3 linked regions of the Schizosaccharomyces pombe genome follow. The gene in region 2 interacts genetically with the main gene of each other region. Each region holds a gene or a part of one and is shown on either strand. Other genes may lie near its edges. The genes, in order: ppk31, nxt1 and nup61.

The links.
Region 1: mutations in nxt1 (region 2) and ppk31 together harm fitness more than expected from each alone (negative genetic interaction), as found in Schizosaccharomyces pombe (one large-scale study listed by BioGRID).
Region 3: mutations in nxt1 (region 2) and nup61 together harm fitness more than expected from each alone (negative genetic interaction), as found in Schizosaccharomyces pombe (one large-scale study listed by BioGRID).

What each region holds. Positions count from the first base shown.
Region 1 is NC_003423.3:1,211,530-1,219,057, reverse strand, and holds ppk31 (serine/threonine protein kinase Ppk31), read left to right. Parts: upstream 1-3,136; coding exon 3,137-6,235; 3' UTR 6,236-6,368; downstream 6,369-7,528. Other genes in the region: peroxisomal targeting signal receptor Pex5, read right to left, coding at 243-2,039; npp1 (nucleotide pyrophosphatase), read left to right, coding at 6,706-7,528. UniProt on the Schizosaccharomyces pombe protein: Has a role in meiosis.
Region 2 is NC_003424.3:1,860,555-1,865,361, reverse strand, and holds nxt1 (mRNA export receptor Nxt1), read right to left. Parts: upstream 2,034-4,807; 5' UTR 2,000-2,033; coding exon 1,981-1,999; exon of another isoform or gene 1,929-1,980; coding exon 1,600-1,928; downstream 1-1,599. Other genes in the region: geranylgeranyltransferase type 1 alpha subunit Cwp1, read left to right, coding at 1-430, 482-689; protein dpc13, read right to left, coding at 905-947, 1,002-1,390; CENP-A histone chaperone Scm3, read right to left, coding at 2,418-3,428. UniProt on the Schizosaccharomyces pombe protein: Stimulator of protein export for NES-containing proteins. Also plays a role in mRNA nuclear export.
Region 3 is NC_003421.2:729,017-735,852, reverse strand, and holds nup61 (nucleoporin Nup61), read left to right. Parts: upstream 1-2,611; 5' UTR 2,612-2,631; coding exon 2,632-2,750; exon of another isoform or gene 2,751-2,802; coding exon 2,803-3,101; exon of another isoform or gene 3,102-3,149; coding exon 3,150-4,381; 3' UTR 4,382-4,982; downstream 4,983-6,836. Other genes in the region: ism1 (isoleucine--tRNA (Ile) ligase), read left to right, coding at 1-2,432; dom34 (translation release factor eRF1 family protein), read right to left, coding at 5,331-5,963, 6,012-6,118, 6,175-6,473, 6,534-6,587, 6,641-6,720. UniProt on the Schizosaccharomyces pombe protein: Functions as a component of the nuclear pore complex (NPC).

The sequences.
Region 1 (7,528 bases), on a different chromosome or scaffold from region 2:
GGTCAAGAAAGGTACAACTTGCATACCAATAGTAACTTTGGTAGCATAGAGTAAGATTTCTTTTACTTTTGTTCTCTGCTTCAGATATTGAAGCGTAAGTTATCTCATTTCTTGTGCAACAAAAAAAAAGTAGCTTTTGCACGTCCTCTAAAAGATATGCCTCAGACAAAAAATTTAAAAAAAAAAACAACCAAATAAATAATAACATGAAAAATGAATTAAGCACGTTTGCTTTAAGAGATTTATTCGAGCTCAACACCGGGCCAACCTTGGAGATCACTTAACTGGGCTCGTATATAACTAGTGTTTGCTCCAGGATAGGACTGAGAGGCAAGATCAGTACTTTGGAATCCAATCAAAAATACTTTGCGAAGCATTTCCCAAAGTTCCTCATTTGATTCGCAGCTCTCCATTGAGGTAGAACTGTTTTGTATAATATCAATTGCAGCAAGTAGATGTTTTGCAGCATCTTCAAAGTATCCTAAATTGATGTTGGAAACAGCCATGTTTGAGCGAACTCGAACATACTGGGGCTGTAGAGATACTGCCCGATTATAGGAAGAAACAGCTTCAGTATTTTTTTCTGCATTTGTTAAAGCAGCACCAAGCTTATTCCACAATATTTCGTTACTTGGTTCGTCTTGAAGAGCTTGCCGAAAACAATCTGCAGAACGCTCATACTCCTTCAACATATACATAATTATTCCTAATCCAGCTTGTACCTTGGAGGAACGCTTCTTAGCAAGTGATAACTCATAAGCTACATCCAAGAAATACATCTGCATTTTCAAGAGATCGTTAGCAGAATCTTTCTCTTCAAACCTTTCGTTTATCTTTGCAAACCTGTTTCGGTATTGGGGAAAACTGTTGACTATCCAGTCTTCTAAGCAAACCAATGCCTGAACATTTAGAGACTGATTAACATAAGACACAGCAAGATCCATCATTAAGTCAAGATTGGTTGAATCCAATTTGACAGCTTCAAGTAGGGCTTCAACAACCCGCGATTCGTTTCCCAATAGAGTATGAATGCGACCTAACCATTTCCAGGCCTCGAAGTGCTGTGGATTCTCTTTCACAGATTGTTCCAATAACACAGCTGCTTTCGAGATAGATCCTCCATTTTTTATTAAATTCATGGCTTCAACAAATGGATCTATTCCGTTTAGCTCTTTCACAACCTCTGAAGATTCATCTTGGTTCTGTGAATATACATCTTCCGTTTGTAAAGAGTTTTCAACAACGTTATCAGTATCGCTATGCTGGAAAATTTGAGGATCTATGTTTTTATTATGAGCTAAATTATCATTAGCAAAGCTATTCACAGACGAAGTGTAAGGATCGTCAGAAATATTGTTTGACTTTAAAAAATCTTCCCATTGTTTCTGGTATTCCTCTAAACTTGCGGGCTCTAGCCCGGCGTTTTTCAATTGCTTTTGATGCTCTTCCCATAGCTCCTCAATTGATTTACTTCCAGTAGCATCCTTTTCCTTCTCTAATTTATTGGAGATTTGAGAAGCTTCCTCAAATTTCTTAGCCAACTCAGTTTCGTCAATAGCTAAAGAACTTTGTAAGGGTATTTCAGTATTTGAAGATAAATTTAGTCCAGCGGAACCAAAAAAAGATTGTTTTAAAGGTTGGTTTAAGTTTCGAAAACGGTCGTTTTCAGATGAATTGAGAAATACTTCAGAGAATTCTGATGTCCAAGCCGACTTACTATTCTGCTGCTGAAGAGAAGAAAAAGAATGTACCCAATTTTCTTTCGAGCCTCCACGAGTAGTTGTGCCGGTATGATTTCCAGTTTTTAAGCTAACTGGGTTCTTAACTACATTACCTAAAGGACTATTGTTTCCTTGGAGATTTTTGAAAGATGTGAATTGATCCTCAGACAGCGTTTGCAAAGGAGCGTAAGTACGACTTTGAGACTTGGTTAAATGTTTTCGATATTGAGCTGAAGGTGTTGAATTATTGACAACAGCTGTGGAAGTCAATTTCTTAAGAGGATTAGATAGCGTTGAACATCCTGCTTCAACAGACATTTTTGAAGAAAGTAGACTATAGCCAATATAAAGGCTCTCGACCAAAAGGAAATAGTTTTTTAAGTAGGTTGTAAGAAAATTAATATCAAAGAATGAAAAATTTCGCAACTTGATTGAATTTGCGATGTGTTTTAAAAACCAAAAATATGAAAACAAAAAAGCGGAAGAAGTAACGATGCAACTAACCAAAAAACAAAAATTGATCGCACCAATGATTGTTACAAAACTTGCGTATAAACTCAGGCATGTATTGCTGCTTATTACCAATTACAAAAATATTTAGATGAGTGCGCTCAGTTCATGTAGATGCTGAGCGTAGCACGTTAGATTAATCGCTTCTGTAATACACCACATTAACCCATATCAATTTATAATAAAGACTTTCTCTTTATTTTTTCAGACTAATCTATTGCCACTAAGGAATTTAGATTTCAACATTTTATTATACTTTTGTAAACCATGCTGCATATGTTAAAACCATAGCTTTATGATACAGAGAAAAAAATCCATATTATTTCTAAGTTCTTTTCAAATTAGTGTGATTAGAAAGTTAAACCAAGGGTTGGATTGAAGTATTAACTCTACATCTATTTATTCACCTGTTGTCTAAATTACAACGCCAAATGAATTAAATCACCAAATACTTCTGTCGCTCACAATAAAATGTATTAAAAAACTAATTAATTTTCGCTAGTCAATATTCGCTGTAACAATGGTTTTGGTTGTTTTCTGCTTAATACCAATTGATGCCACCTACAGTTCACATCCGACAAATATTTGTTAAAGAACCTGTCGCTAATTAAAGTGCTAAAAATCGCTCGTTCAAATTGTGATCTCATTATGAATTAGCATATTAGTTGGCGAATTTAATAAAGCCAAGTAATAAATTGATGATGTTATAATAACGAAAACATTGTATACAACAACAATTCCGCTTCATAAGTAAAAAAAGGTATTTAAATTATACGAGTCTTACAAACTATTAAAAGTCTTTGCCGAAAAACTATCGCGTAAGAACCATTTGCATTGATTTTACACAACTTTGAATACAATTTCTTTTATACCAAGAAGCTTAAAGTGTTCAATTATGATAAACAATGACTAATCCAGAGCAATTGAAGAGGATACTTTCCCACGAAGTTCTGCTGAAAATTGAAATGTCAAAAAATGGAATAGTGGAATATGCCAATCCTGCATTTTTTGAATTAATCGGCTACGAAGGAGATTTATTTCAATGTAGTTTCTATGAGTATCTTCAAAGCGATGATGAACACTTAATGAAGAAAGCAACCGATAATCTTTTCAGAAAAAGCATATCAGTTGCACATGTCTTTGCTTTTCTCAGATGTAATCCAATACGCAGTCCTAATTATTATATTCAACAAGCCAAAGCTCCATTTGAGGGAAAGACGTATATTAGAATGCTTTTTCGAGGCATTCTAGTAGACTCATTGTATGGTAAAGATACAAGGGTTTTGTGGGCAGGAAAATATTTATATCCACAACGGTCCGTGATCAACGAAATGGATTTCATCCTGTTTAACACGTTAGGGATTGGTGCCTTCATTCTTCATGATCATTTGCTCGGAATAATCAAATACAATTATATACACGTTCCTCCTCCTTCAGGAAAATTATGTTCGTTGTGTGAAGATAATTTACCAGAGTGGTACTTTGAGGTACATAGCGATTTTTGCCTTGTTTGGAATGATCTCGTACGCCGCGTTTTCGCCGTACAACAATTGATAAATTGTAAGAAGCTGGAAATAGAAGACATAGTTAACAAACTCCCTACGGGTAGTAATCATATGGTTGAAGAAACCTTTCTTTCCTTGCCGGTCATAACAGTATTCAACGGGAAGAAAAACAGAAAACAGAGGTTTCGCATTCGATCATGGAGAAGCTCTCTGAACTTTTTGGTTAAGGAACTGGACAAATCCATTAAAAATTTTGCTTATTTAGAACATCGAACGTTTTTGACAATTTCAAATTCTGCCGCGAAAGACATGAAGCGAGAGATTTATGAAAAATCATTGGTGAATTGGGAGTATGATTTTCTTGTTCCCTCAAAGATCCAGGATTATTTTTACGATGTTCATTCACTTCTTTTGAAAAATTTATCGTCTAAAATAAAACTCTGTAATCACATTTTAATGTATCAAGCAACGTTTAATGAAGTTAAAAATTTTCTTCAAACGTACTCCTTGAATATGCTATCAATTGAGATGGAAAACATCGAAGGAAGTCTGTACTTTGGAAATGCTCAATTGTCCAATCTAATTTGCGTAAACCAATACCTTTCCGAACAGAGACCAGTGTTTTTCAACAGGCTGTTAGCCCTTGGGAACGTTGAAAATAATAATTCAATTTACGATGACATCCAGAAACGAACAGAACGTATATCTACCATAAAAAGACATAAAAAATACTTTGAGATTGGAGAACGCTTAACAGAAAAAGACTTAATTGTGTCTAAAACCTTTAAAACAACAAGGATAGATTATTTTAAAGCGGTAAAGGGATCAATTGAAGATCTGGATGTGAGACCTCTAAAAAATCGGCAGAAATTTGTTAACAAATTCTATGCCTCGATCGTTCATTTTCTTACCGAAAGTATGCAGTTCCCAAGCCATAATGATAGGAGATTTGGGGATAATACTCCTCACTCATTAGACGAGTTCATACTTTTAAAAGAAATAAACAGAGGGGCATACGGTAGGGTTTATCTTGCTAAAAAAAGATCTTCAGGAAAGTATTTTGCTCTTAAAATGATTCCAAAATCCAGTCTTGATAGCTTAAAAAAAATAAAAGGACTATTGCTTGAAAAGCGTAACATGCATATCCAAAGATATGGACCAAACACAGTGAAATTATATTATGCATTTGATTCTGGGGACTACCTATGCCTTGTAATGGATTATTTTAATGGAGGAGATTGTGAAACACTTATTCAAAAATTAGGACCGTTACCAGAGCAATGGGTTTGCCAGTACGCAGCTGAATTACTAAATGCTATCGAGCTTTTGCATCAGGATGGAATCATCCATCACGACATAAAGCCTGCCAACATGTTGGTTGACGAAACAGGACATATTCGGCTTACAGACTTCGGACTGAGTGAAAACGTAGAGGAAAAAAAAGAGGTTTATAAGCTTACTAAGAGGATGTCATTTGAACAGAAACATGGAAATTTGTATGAGCAGCTTCAACCTAAAAAATTCGAATTTGTAAGATATGTTCGAAATTACCGCGGGAATATTGATGAGCTTGAGAAAGCGGAGAGTCCACAGCAAAATAGTGATTATGCCAATGACTCGGTCCAGCATTTACTTGACTTTGATATCAATAACATGGATGAAACAGCAATACACATGTTAATGAATCAGTTAGAGAAAAAGGAAAACCGGACATTCATCAAAAAAGATATTTCAGGGACGCCAAATTATATGGCTCCAGAAATTTTAATGGGCGTTGATACTCAGATGGGCGATATATGGGCGATGGGTTGTGTGATATTCGAAATGTTGACTGGCACGCGACCATTTGAAGCAAATACTGTAAAAGCAATATGGGCTCGCATAGAGAGAAATGATATTGGTTGGACTAAAAGAGTGAAAGAAAGCTGCTCAAAGGAGGCGGTAGACTTAATCACCAAACTCATGGATCCAGACTGTAACAAACGGCTGGGTAGCAATGGATACCAGGAAATCAAAAAACATCCTTTTTTTCGAACCATTAAATGGGATAATTTAAATAGTGGGCCAGGTCCGTTCGTTCCACAAACAGAAAATGTTGAAGATTTGACGTACTTTGAAAAAAACATAAGCGGTTCGGATAATATTAATAAAAATAATTGTCAGACGTCAGCAACTTTAATTCTAAATGGTATTTTTGCTTTTCATCCTCCTCCAAAAGCAACACCAGCTGACAGTGGTACTGAAACCTCAAACTCAGCTGCTTTCTCTGCGTCCGAGGAGGAGACCACAAATTTAACAGACCAAAAACGAAAAGATCTTTTTTCACTAATAACCAAAGCGTTTAAGGGAATAGACTTAAAGGCCCTTAATTACAACAACAAAGCCACGCTTTTGCGAATGTATGATGAGGTCGATTTCCCCAAAAATCAACAAAGAAATAAAGAGAAATTTCGAATTCAGAAACGACCTAACAAAAAGTATCGCTACCATTTATTTTAACATCATGTAAAACCATAGACATAACATGTTCGCTATCCAGAACGAATCATGATAAGTTGAAAAATGGTTAATTAATATTTCCATACAGAAACAGTAAAAAGACAAATAAACTTGTTCTACAAAATCTTTTATTCTGAGGCTTTAGCCAAATAATGCTTCTAACATAAGTTGATGTTTCCTCCTTGAATCCAAATATTATTAATAGTTGAATTTCATATATGAAAAAAAGCTATCTCATTTCACTAAACGTTTCAAAGGATGACATTTCCTATACGACAGAACATTTAAGAGGACTGAATAGTTTACGAATTGAAGTAAGTTAGAACAAAGTGTTTACCGCATATCTTTGAAAGCGTTAAATGATTTTAACAATATTTTTCGCATCGTTATTCAAGTAAGTATTATTTGACAGATTATATGATATACCTAACAATACTCCTTTATATCATTGATTTTGAACATTCGCCGAAATGTTTAGTTGGGCTAATATTGGGTCCAACGAGTATTTGCCTTTGAAAAATGATCGAAAGGCTTATTTGAATCAATGGGCAAAACGATCGGGACTAGCAATTGCCGCTATTTGCATTTTAGGAATTCTGATATTGGCAATTGTGAAATTATTTTGCTTCAAAGCAATTATTTTTCCTATCGTTGGAGGTTCCTTCAACAATGGGACCAATGTTTTTCAGTCCACTGTCATCGTAATCTCCTTGGATGGATTCCGTGCTGATTACTTATATCGTGGGTTCACACCTAATCTTCTGAGCCTGGCTGAACGTAATGTCCATGTTCCCTTTTTGATTCCTTCTTTTCCTAGTATAACTTTCCCTAATCACTATACTATTGTTACCGGTTTATATCCCGAGAGCCATGGAATCGTTAGTAACAACTTTTTTGATCCTGTAACTGGGAAGCAATTTGTCAACAGTATGCCTGAATGTAACAAAGACCCAACTTGGTGGGATAAAGGGGAGCCTATATGGGTCAACGCTGAGCGAAATAACGTTCGATCAGCGGTACATATGTGGCCTGGAAATGAAGTGGAGAATCATGGTTACAGACCTACTTATTCGGATGGTTTCAATTTTGATACGACTCTAAGAGAAAAGAAAGATAGAATACTCGAATGGCTGGATCTTCCTGATAAAGACCGCCCTCAGTTATTACTTGCTTATGCTCCCCATGTAGATATGGTTGGGCACGCATTTGGACCGGATTCGCCTGAACTGAATATCATAATTCAAGAAGTTGATATCGTAATTGGTGAACTAATTGAAGGACTGAAGAAAAGAA
Region 2 (4,807 bases):
TTCAAATCCTAAACCACACGCCCAGTTACATAGACAATGAATTAGAATGGCTCGATGAAATTGCCGAAGATTTTCAAAAAAACTACCAGGTTTGGCATCATAGGCAAAAAATACTTTCTTTGACTAAGAATTATGAGCGTGAACTTGAGTTTACGAAAAAGATGTTTGAAATTGACAGTAAAAATTATCATGTCTGGTCCTACCGAGTTTGGATCTTGCAAAATTTTAATGATTATTCTCAAGAGCTGAAGTTAACCAACGAATTATTGGAAAAAGACATTTATAACAATTCGGCTTGGAATCATAGATTTTATGTTTTGTTTGAAACCTCCAAGGTGGTTTCTTGGTCTTTGGAAGAGGAACTGAATTATCTGAAAGACAAAATCCTTTTTGCTCCTGACAATCAGAGTGCTTGGAATTATTTGTGTGGGTAAGTATCTCTCATTTCCATTAATTACATTCTTCATTAACTTTTTTACAGTGTACTTGACAAATCAGGACCTTCAAAACTTGATAATCTCATAGCTAATCTCCGAAAAAATTTGCCTGCTTTACACAAGCCACTCTTAGAGTTTTTAGCTATGTACGAGCCTTCGTCGTCTGAAGAGATTTATCAAAAACTAGCAAATGAGGTTGACGTACCGCATGCCGCTTTATGGACATGGATGTCCCAAAGGAGCAATCCTTAAATCTATGCTTTGAATGCTAATTGGGTTTACTGATATTTTGATAAAGCATCTTGTTTAAAATTCCTACTAATTAAGAAAGTAGTTGTGATGTATAGTGAATCGTTTATGAAATCAATAACATTAGTCATTCCTCCAATTGTAAGTTTCACATAATAGTGAACAAGTAATGGTTATTAGGCCAAACAAAGAATAAAAAAAATGTCAGAGGCATATTTTTACTTTTCTTTCTTAAGGTTTCTTCGAACAAGTTCCAAAAATCTATAGATATGTTAGTGTTCGCACAATCAATGGAATACATTCAAAAAAACATACGCAGGATCATTTTGAATTCCAGATTTTTTAAATATCTCCGTGATAGTTTCAGCTAACTGCTTGAATTCCGGATCACGAGTAATCTTTAGGATAGTAAGAGGTGACGGTTTTGAACCAGCTTCAAGGCCGTATTTCTCAAAAAACTGACGAAGACGGCCAACCTTTTGAGCAAGTTCCGGATCATTAACAACTAATGAACTCATTTTCTCTTCAAGTTTCTGGACTTGCTCATCCATTACTGGATCCTTGAAAATAGTGTCGTCAGGTTGCGTAGTCGCACTTCTCTTCCATGTTAATATACTAGGAAACCTATTCCTATACAGAAGAGCATTGTTGTATGTAAGAGGCCTTCTGATAGTCAGCTGAGACAAATACTTCCAATATTTCATATTTGTAAGGTGGTGGTTAATTTTGTGTTCTAAAGAAGTATGAGGGATTAGGGAATGTGTCGCTCAGATAAGCTTGCTGCGGCAAATTAATACAAACTCTAAACGAAATGAAATCTTTGTTTTGGATACGTATTATTCACTCATAATTCTAAAATTTTGACTGGCAATATAATACTTTGATTCTTCCTGTTGTAGAACTATATTGTCTCTTAAAGGAAGTTAGTAGAGGATCTTAGTACAAGAAGGTAAATACAATAAAAACTGACATACGAAAATACATGAGGTTTTTTTCCATCGAAACGTATTGTTCCTGAAACAACAATTATGATATTCATATCATTACCCATGACCTGTTGACTATCGAAATCCTCAACTTTAGTTTTGGAGTATGGAAGATTAACTATCATAGAGGTAAATTCGGTTACTTGCATGGGTTTTCCATTCCATAAGATCAAACTATTTTCTCTGTAAAATTCTGCGATCCCATTTCTGTTCGTATCAAGAGATGAGTAATACCGTTGGACGAACTCCTGCGCATCTTTAATTGTTAGTTTATAGATAAAGCTTTAGTAATGCGGCATTTAACATACATTTTACACTCGACTCCATAATGATTCACAATGACAGAAATTTGTAGTGGTGTAAGTAGTCATTTAAACAGGTACATGTGTTATAAATTGAAATATTGTACTCATTAAGCGATATTTAAAGATAATCTTTGTTCAACACACTGAATGGATATTTCGGCTAGATATCTTTATGACTACGATTTTTACTTATAACATGAAGAGTGGAGAACAATTATGTGTACTCATTTGCCATACTACAAAAGCATAGATCACGTAAAAACTCAACGAATGATTAATATATTAGTAAAAAAATATATATTCGAATGTAACATGATAACTCGAAAGACAATTTGTTGTAAATGAAAACAAAAAATAAATATATGTTCGAAGAAATAGGTCATTAAAAGCCATGGTATGGCAAGCGAAGAAGATGGGAGAATAAGTGGTTTAAAGCTGAATCAACATTTTTTTGACTCAGAAATGCATTGGAAACAAAATGCTTTTTTACAAGTGCTGGAAGAATGAGGGTTCTGAGTGCTACTTCCTGAGAACGAAGTTTGTTGACTTAAAGGTTGAAAACCAAGATTAAAATGATGGGTAGAAAGATTAGGTCGAGGGGATATCATTGAAATTAATGAAATAAAGTTTCTTCGTTTTGTAGAATTGGAGTTTCGGACTTTTGACTTAGAAAAAGATCTACGTAAAGGAGTTTTAGGAGATGATAATAAAGGGTTCCTTCTTCTCGGTGAAGATAAAGTATCAGAGATGACGTGCAAAATCTCATTTTGTTCTATGCTTTTATGCTTGATTGTATCCAAACCACGCTGATCTGTTAATGTTCCTGATGAGTTTGGCAACAGACAAGATTTTTTTTCCAAAGCTGAAGCATCAACTTTTCTTGTTTTATCATTGATTTTTAGTCTCACGCATGACTGAGAGGGTATAGTTTCATTACAAACATTTTCCACAAAAAGTGAAGCTAAAGGAACTTCATCTGCAAACACACAATCTGACACCATTTCATCACGAAGTGATAGATTTTTAAATTTATAGATCTGGGGAGACTGAAAATCCTCTATATGGACTGGTGAAACAGCTTTTTCCCCTGGGTTGCCAATGCTTGAGTCTAATTTTTTTTCGTATCCATTTGACGCTGAGATTTCAAGGTTGTTAAATGTAGGATCCCATATATCATCTTTTGTTTTTAAAGCTTCTAGATGTCCATTATTAACAATAATTTCACCAGTTGCAAGATCTACTTCATCAGCTATATCAGAAGTGTCGCGTCCATATTTTTTGAAAAGAGATTCCAAAAAGTCGTTGTACTTCTTTTCGGACTCAATTCTTTTACAAAACACATCATCACAAGCCGTAGGATTAGTATTAAATTCGACAGACTGAAAAGACAACAGATGTGGACAAGAATAGTTTGGAGGCAGGTCAACGGCTTTCGGTTGACGATTGCACATGATTGAAAGTTAAAATCATTTGGTATTGAGAAATTTTGTTCAAAAAATCCTTTCCAATAAATTTCTTAAGGCAAAAATTGGAGATTTTCAGTTATTAGTAGGAAAGCGATTTCAGTAGTGGTTTATTAGTGAACGGTGCCATAACTGTAGACTTGTATTAGAGTTTCGTAACTAATTCACGAATGACTTTTAGATTTAATTTCTGTTAGAACTTAGAGATCAAAAAAAAAAGATAATGAAAAGTTCTTTTGAATAGTTTATGCAAAAGTGTAATTTCAATGATGGTCGCTTAACGCTTGTAAATTAACTCATTGCTCCAAAAGACTGATTTATCTGTTCTTGCACTAATTCTATACTGTTTAAGAATTTCTAAAATACATAAAATTAATAGACATACAATTTTGTAATAATAACGAACGCTGCGATACCTTGTGGATTCCAACGAACATAGCAATTCCACATTACTTTTTTAATGATAAAATGAGAAATCAACGATACCTAAAATAAAGAAAATAAGGATACTCGTTTTGGTGAATATTACTTTGCATCATTTGCACAATTTAATAAAAAAATCCCATAAGTTGAGCATTCCATTTGTCACATCGCCCCAAAGAAGCGTGACGATTCTTTGGCTTTCTTTCACAAATAATTCGTATTAGTTGAAAGCGTTCTGTTCGACAAGTTTAGCCATATTTTGATTGTTCATTCATGTAAATATGAGGATACGTAGCGCAGCTCCTCAATAGAATTCTTTTAGAAAGTGTCTATTGTACCAACTAGTAACTATTATCAATTCCATTACAACATAGAATTGGAGAAATCATCGCTAAATAATTAGAACAAAGGATGAATTGATCTCGGCATTGTTTGCATTCTTACTAAGTGCCAAGTGAAACAGACAATAGCGAGAACAATAGAAATGTTAAACAAAACGACAGAACAATTTGGACACGATAGGGAACGTATTGTAAAATAAACTATTTTTGGCTCTTTGTGACTTAGTCTCATGAACACAGTCTTCTATAACTTGAAGCAAAACCGAGTCGTTTCATGTTTCAGTTTCTTACGGTATGCTTGTTTTGAACAATTTCTTTACCGAAGCATTCACATGAAAAGAATTACTACACCATATGGAATATGACAATAGGAATTACTCATTCCCCTCCAACAATAAACGTACCCGTTACCTGAATAGCACAGCATGCCGATGAAACAAAGGAAGTTGAGTACAGCGCAACTCTTTCAACTACTCCATAATTGCACTTTCTTTAAAACACTACACCATTGTTTGAGCATTGTATAGTTCAAATACTCGAATTTCTTTGTATTCCTTCACCATGGATCCTAAGTATAAAAAACCGCATAGAGCTCCATATTTG
Region 3 (6,836 bases), on a different chromosome or scaffold from region 2:
TCATGATGTTCCAACGTATGGCTGTAATGGGAGATTGGCCTTCTAGGTACATCACCATGAGTGACAAATTTGAAATAGCAGAGCTTAAGGTTTTCTTAAGTTTGTTACAAAAGGATCTTATATTTCGTCAAAATAAACCTGTTTATTGGAGCTCTTCAAGCAGGTCCGCTTTAGCTGAATCAGAAATAGAATATGATGATAATCACGTCAGCACGTCTATCTACTTTACGTTTCCGGTGAACAGTTTTTCTATCGATGGATGTGAATACAATAATGTAAAGGCATTAGTTTGGACAACAACTCCCTGGACCATTCCTTCAAACCTTGCATTATCTTACCACCCTGAAATCAACTATGGTCTATACCAGCACAATAATTCGATTTATTTAATGTCTGATAATTTAGTTCCAAACTTGGATTTTATGCAGGGAGCTAAGCGTCTTGCGAGTTGCCCTTCAGATATTATTTCATCATTTACATATGAGAACCCTCTATTACCGAAGCAAAGCTTTCCATTTTTACAATCTAACTACGTTACTAATGATATCGGTACTGGTATAGTACATGTCGCTCCTGGCCATGGAATGGAAGATTATCTTCTAGGACTGGAAAACAATTTGCGTCCTTTTTCACCACTCGATGATTATGGTCGATACACTAAAGAAGCTTTGGATGGAAGCCTTGAAGGATTGGAAGTTCTTGGTGATGGAGGAAAGAAAGTAATAAGTATTATGAAAAATCAAAATATGATTGTTAAGGTCTCTCCTTATAAGCACCGCTACCCTTACGATTGGCGAACACATAAGCCATTAATTTTACGGGCGACCCCTCAATGGTTTATATCATTGGAGAATGAAAGGAAAACTGCCATAAAAGCACTTGATAGTGTAAAAATGATTCCTCCAAATTCGCGCGCCAGACTTCTTGGTTTTTTGAATGGCCGTCCTGAATGGTGCATTTCTCGCCAACGGGCATGGGGTTTACCCATTCCTGTATTGTATGAGAAAGGAACTAAAATCCCCCTACTAACTGTGAAAAGTGTATCCTATATCATTGAGAAAATGGAAGTAGAGGGAGTTGATTCTTGGTTTAATGATACTGAAAACAATGGGCATGCTCAGTGGGTTCATCCGGATTACAGAAATAAGGAGTATATTCGTGGCACTGAAACACTTGATGTATGGTTTGATTCTGGGACTAGTTGGACTACAATAGCACCTCGTAAGAATAAACCGCTCATTGACCTTTGCTTGGAAGGAAGCGATCAACACAGGGGATGGTTTCAGTCACTTCTTCTCACATACACTGCCTACCAATCAAAACCAGAAGCACCGTTTTCTACTTTGTTTACGCACGGATTTATCTTTGATGAAAGAGGTCAGAAACAATCCAAGTCTTTGGGCAATGTAACCGACCCTGAAGATGTAATAAACGGAAAGCTTTTAAAAGGAAAAAAGCTTCCATATGGTGTTGATTTACTGAGACTTTGGGTTGCATCATGTGACAGTACGAATGATACTAACCTGGGACCGAACATTTTGACGCAAGTTGGTGAATCCTTAAAAAAGTGGAGATTAACATCCCGATTTTGTCTTGGGAACTTACATGACTGGAATACCTCGAGCTCAGTTGATGTTGGTGAATTACGTGGTATTGATAAGTTGGCTTTAGTCCAACTAGATAAATTTCAGACTGAAATTCGAGAACTTTATGAATCATATTCAATTAACAAAGTTGTTCATCATCTCAATTATTTTATGAACTCTTTCTTATCCTCTACATACTTTGACGCCGTAAAGGATCGTCTGTACGCTGATTTACCCAACAGTGTATCTAGGAGAAGTGTTCAAACTGTCCTTTATCATTCATTACTTACGCTCATTTGGGCCATTTCTCCCATTACTCCACTTTTGGCACAGGAGATTTGGCAAAGCTTACCCGATAGTTATTTGAATTCTTCTTACCAAACTCCTTTTCACGCTGGAGAAACACATCTTATAAGCAGCTTAAGGTCAAAAGTTGATTTACTTGATAGAAAATTTTTAATTAAGGAATACTTGGTTCTTCAACAACTTAAGTATAGTATTAATTTGTTGATTACCGCAGCTCGTGAAAATCTAACTATTAAAAACTCATTAGAAGCTTATGTCGTTATTAAGTCAAAATCTCAATCTTTATTGAGTTTTTTAAAAAATTACTCTTCCGACCTTCCTTTTCTGTTCAATACATCGAAGGTATTTATTAACGAAATTCCCGAAAATCTGAAATTAGCTTCCGTTACACAACCTGAAGTTCAGTTGGATTATGGGGTTGCAAATATCTCTTTATTTTTTTCAAATCAACAAAAATGTCTACGTTGCTGGATGCATACAGCTCATGAGGACGGATTATGTGACAGATGCGAATCTGTTTTGGCCCAACTGAAACGCTAAGAAAAAAGCTGAACGCTCTTTATTATGATAATTTTTGTACCATAGTCATTTATTTTTGTAATACTTAATTAAAATCAAGCGACAATTCATTTTTTGTATTATTTTATTTTACTGTAACATTAGTAAATAAGGAGACATAGTGAAGGCCATAAGTTTGGGTGGTTTTGGGGCTAACAGTTGACCTTCGCAAACTAGCAAAATGTCAAAACGCGGTGCTGATCATCAGTTAACTAAGGATCAAGATGATTCTGATGATGACCGTCATGGTCCAGTTGAAGTTCCTAAGGAGGCCTCCGCAGACGTGATGGCCACAAGAAAGTATGTAACGATGAAACATAGTTCTTCAATTTTTTAGGTACTAATGTATTAGAATTGCAAAGCCAAAATCTAGAAAAAGACCAACGAGCGGTGTTTCTTCTCCGGGAATTTTTGCAAATTTGGCAGCAAAACCGGTGTCTTTACCTGCATCGACTACGCAATTTACATTTGGAAAACCCGCGGTTACAGCTAATAATGATTCAGATATTCACTTGAAAAAACGCGGTCTTAATAAATCATTTATTGACGCTGTTATCAAAAGTGTTGACAATAATCCCTTTGGTAATTTGAGCCCTCTGTTTGATGAATACAGGCAGCATTTTTCAAGTATAGAAAAAAAGCCAGCAGAAGGTAATGCGTTTATAGTTAGTACTTCATTTCTTTCTAACGTTTTCTTAGAACAACCAACTTCAAATGCTGTTGTGTCTGAGGTAAATCCTCAGCAACAAAAAAGCCAAGATTCTTCTTCTTTTGTTACAGAAAAACCAGCTTCTTCAGAAAAAGAGGATAAGGAGAAGCCCCTTGTTCCCCCCGGTGCTCCTAGGTTCGGATTTTCTGCTCCAGCGCTTGGTAGCTCTTTCCAGTTTAATTCATCGGCTTTTACTCCTAAAGGGTCATTTGGTGAGAAGTCCGCAACAGAAGCGGAAGCGAAGGAGAAAGAAACATCTTCTAATCAAACTGCCACTGGTACTGCCGCTACCACAACCAACCAGTTTTCATTCAATACTGCCGCTAATCCTTTCGCTTTCGCTAAGAAGGAAAATGAGGAATCAAAACCATTAACTCCCGTGTTTTCTTTCTCAACGACTATGGCTTCTGCGGATGCTTCAAAAGAGACCAAACAAACCCATGAAACTAAAGATTCAAAGAGCGAAGAATCTAAACCCTCGAACAATGAAAAATCCGAGAACGCCGTTGAACCTGCCAAGGGAAATACTATGAGTTTTTCTTGGACTCCTGATAAGCCTATCAAATTTGACACACCTGAGAAAAAATTTACATTTACCAATCCATTATCGAGCAAAAAGTTACCGGCCTCTTCGGATGTGAAGCCTCCTAGCGCTGCGGCTGTCGGCTTTTCATTTGGAACTACTACTAATCCGTTCTCTTTTGCTGCTCCGAAATCTTCTTTTCCTACTTCTTCTACTCCAGCTTCTGTTGGCGCTGAAAAAAGTGAAGAAACTTCTAATGGAAACAAATCAGAGCAAGAAGAAAAGGAAAACGGAAATGATGAAACTCGATCGAATGATTCTCTAGTTTCTGGTAAAGGAAAAGGCGAAGAAAATGAAGACAGCGTATTTGAGACAAGGGCCAAGATATACCGTTTCGATGCTACTAGTAAATCTTATTCTGATATCGGGATTGGTCCATTAAAAATTAACGTAGATCGTGACACTGGCTCTGCTCGCATCCTTGCGCGTGTCGAGGGAAGTGGAAAACTTTTGTTAAACGTTCGTTTGTGCCAGGATTTTGAATACAGCCTGGCTGGTAAAAAGGACGTAAAAGTACCTGCTGCTTCTACTGATGGAAAATCAATTGAAATGTATTTGATTCGTGTGAAAGAGCCTAGTACTGCGGAAAAGTTATTAGCCGAATTGAATGAGAAAAAGGTCTCAAAGTCAGAGAACTAGAAAGCAGTGATTGATTCAGTCACTATTTATTCCTTTATTTTTGGTCTATTAAATGTACATAAATCTAATAAATTTTTCGGAAATATATTGTCAAGATTATCAATTTAATACTGTCATTCGATTTTCATTTGTGGATAGGGATATACACAATCAGTCTTTTACGAAATGTGCATACAAATATGAAATTCCCGGAAGCATACATGCTCTCCAAGTACATTGCCTTTATGGAATATTAAATTGGTTAAGCTAGTCATATCTTTTCTTTTTAAATTTACGCAGAACATCAAAGTTTTACGGAACTGATTTAATTATCCTAATTTTCATCTTATGAATGATTGATAAATTTTTGAGTGAATTTTAAAACTGTTGTATATCGCCAGTGATATATCTTGAATTGATTGATTCAATAATCGGTTTCGTTATTAAATTACTTTTGTCTATATATTGGTTCCGGATTTTCAAACACCTGCCTAGCTTTTAGAAGGGTCAAACCCCCTTATTGAATAAGTATCTTGGCGCGAACTTTTAATAAAATAAGCAAGTAAATGAGCCACTATCAATTTCGAATTGTTAGTTTTTTGAAAAAAGTAACTTCAACAAATACGTTTGTAGCGAATTTATCGCTTAAAGTTGATTTTTTTACTGTAATTGAATACTGTATTGGACCGGCTATAATTAACAGCTTAATTTTACAAGTTAAGAGTTATAATCGATAAGTATAAATCATTTTAGGGTATCAATTTTTGACCATTCTAACACCTAATTTTTTGCATGTTTATCATAGTAAATACCCTAAAACATCCAAGTAAAAGCATAAATAATGACTACCAAAACGAGCCCATAAATAAATTTTTTAAGAGAATGAAACAAATTGTTCTAACCGAGCTTAAAGTATGAAATATTGGCTTAGCAATAATTAGATTCATGACAATTCGGATACTGATGAACTTTAACTATGTTCAAAATTTTGGGATTCCTCATCCTCTTCATCTTCTGATATATCCTCTTCATCGACTGGGTAAGTGAGAATGGCGGCAATACCTGACAACAGATCCAGCTGCTTCCCTGACTCATGCAAACTACTGAAAATATAAACAGGACAGTTAATCTCCTTAACACCTTCTACTAATGAAACCCATTTTTTTCTAGTAGCAATGTCAGAACTCCTGAACAGAGAATCGCTAATCAGAAGTTCTCCGATCGCGCCAAGTTCAAAAGCCTTCAAAACATGATTTGGACCATACCATGCCTTTCTATCATCTTCATTCATGACATCGTAAAATTTATTCAGAACGCGAATTTCTTGTACGTATTTTGTGTCGGCTAGTTTTGATTCAACAGCAGGGTCCTTCAAAATTTCATTAAGGGAATGAATATGACCAGTGCTAGAATGAAGGATGACAAATTTATTCTTTGATTTAACAATTTGTTTCAAGTCTAACTTCACGGCCATGCTGAATATGTAGTCATACAAGCCTCGAGCCACAAATCCTGGTGAAGCAAGAATAACGACTTTCAATTTATCAAAATCAAATTCTGAGTTAATGGATTGAAAAACAGAGTCATAAAATTTATCAAGGCCCTAAAAAATTGATCAGTACGGACGAAAAATCAAAGTCTAAAAATTTACCTTTTGGTAAGCGCTGCTGTCCCCTCTCCGTTTCCTTGGAATCACTTGATCAATCCTTTGACGCAGGATGGTCATATAATCTGTAATGAGACAAATATTGGCAAGACCTGCAAGTCAGTAAACATGCACGAACTAATAAAGCGATGTAAGCCAAGAAATTTACCTTCATCTAAAACCACAGCACCTATTTCAGCATTTCTTGAAGGATTACAAGCAGCATCTACACGGTCCAATGCAAATGCATCCCATTCATTTTTATATAGAGTAAAATTGCGATGTAGTTCTAAGTCCAAGGTATGGTAGGATCCCATCTTAACTTCAGGATGGTATTCAGTTGTCCGTCCTTTGATGTGCAATTGAGCAGCCTTTGTATCAAAGTCCATATTCTCAACTAAAATACGTAGTTTCATCACAACTCTTGAACCTGACGTACTTCCTGTAGCGCCAACTTTCACTACACGACTAAACAACAGAAAAAACAGGTGTTATTATCGAACATTGAAGATACACTTTATTTCATACCGAACTGTAGAAGCCTTCAGCTGATCTCCAACTTGAAGAATATTATACAAATGCCTAAACTAAGTTAGTTTGTGCATTGATTGCAGATATACAGCAACCAGGCATACCACATATCTTCTGGCTCTTCAGGGCACATGGTTATCCATCCGGAGCCATTTTTTTCGATGTTTTTTTGAATCAACTTCATATTGAATGTGGTTGACGAAGAATTTAAGTGAACAGGAATTTTTTAGGCTATTTTGACTGACATAATATCTCGAAATTTTATTCTATATAATTATCCTTTTTATAGTAATAATTGTT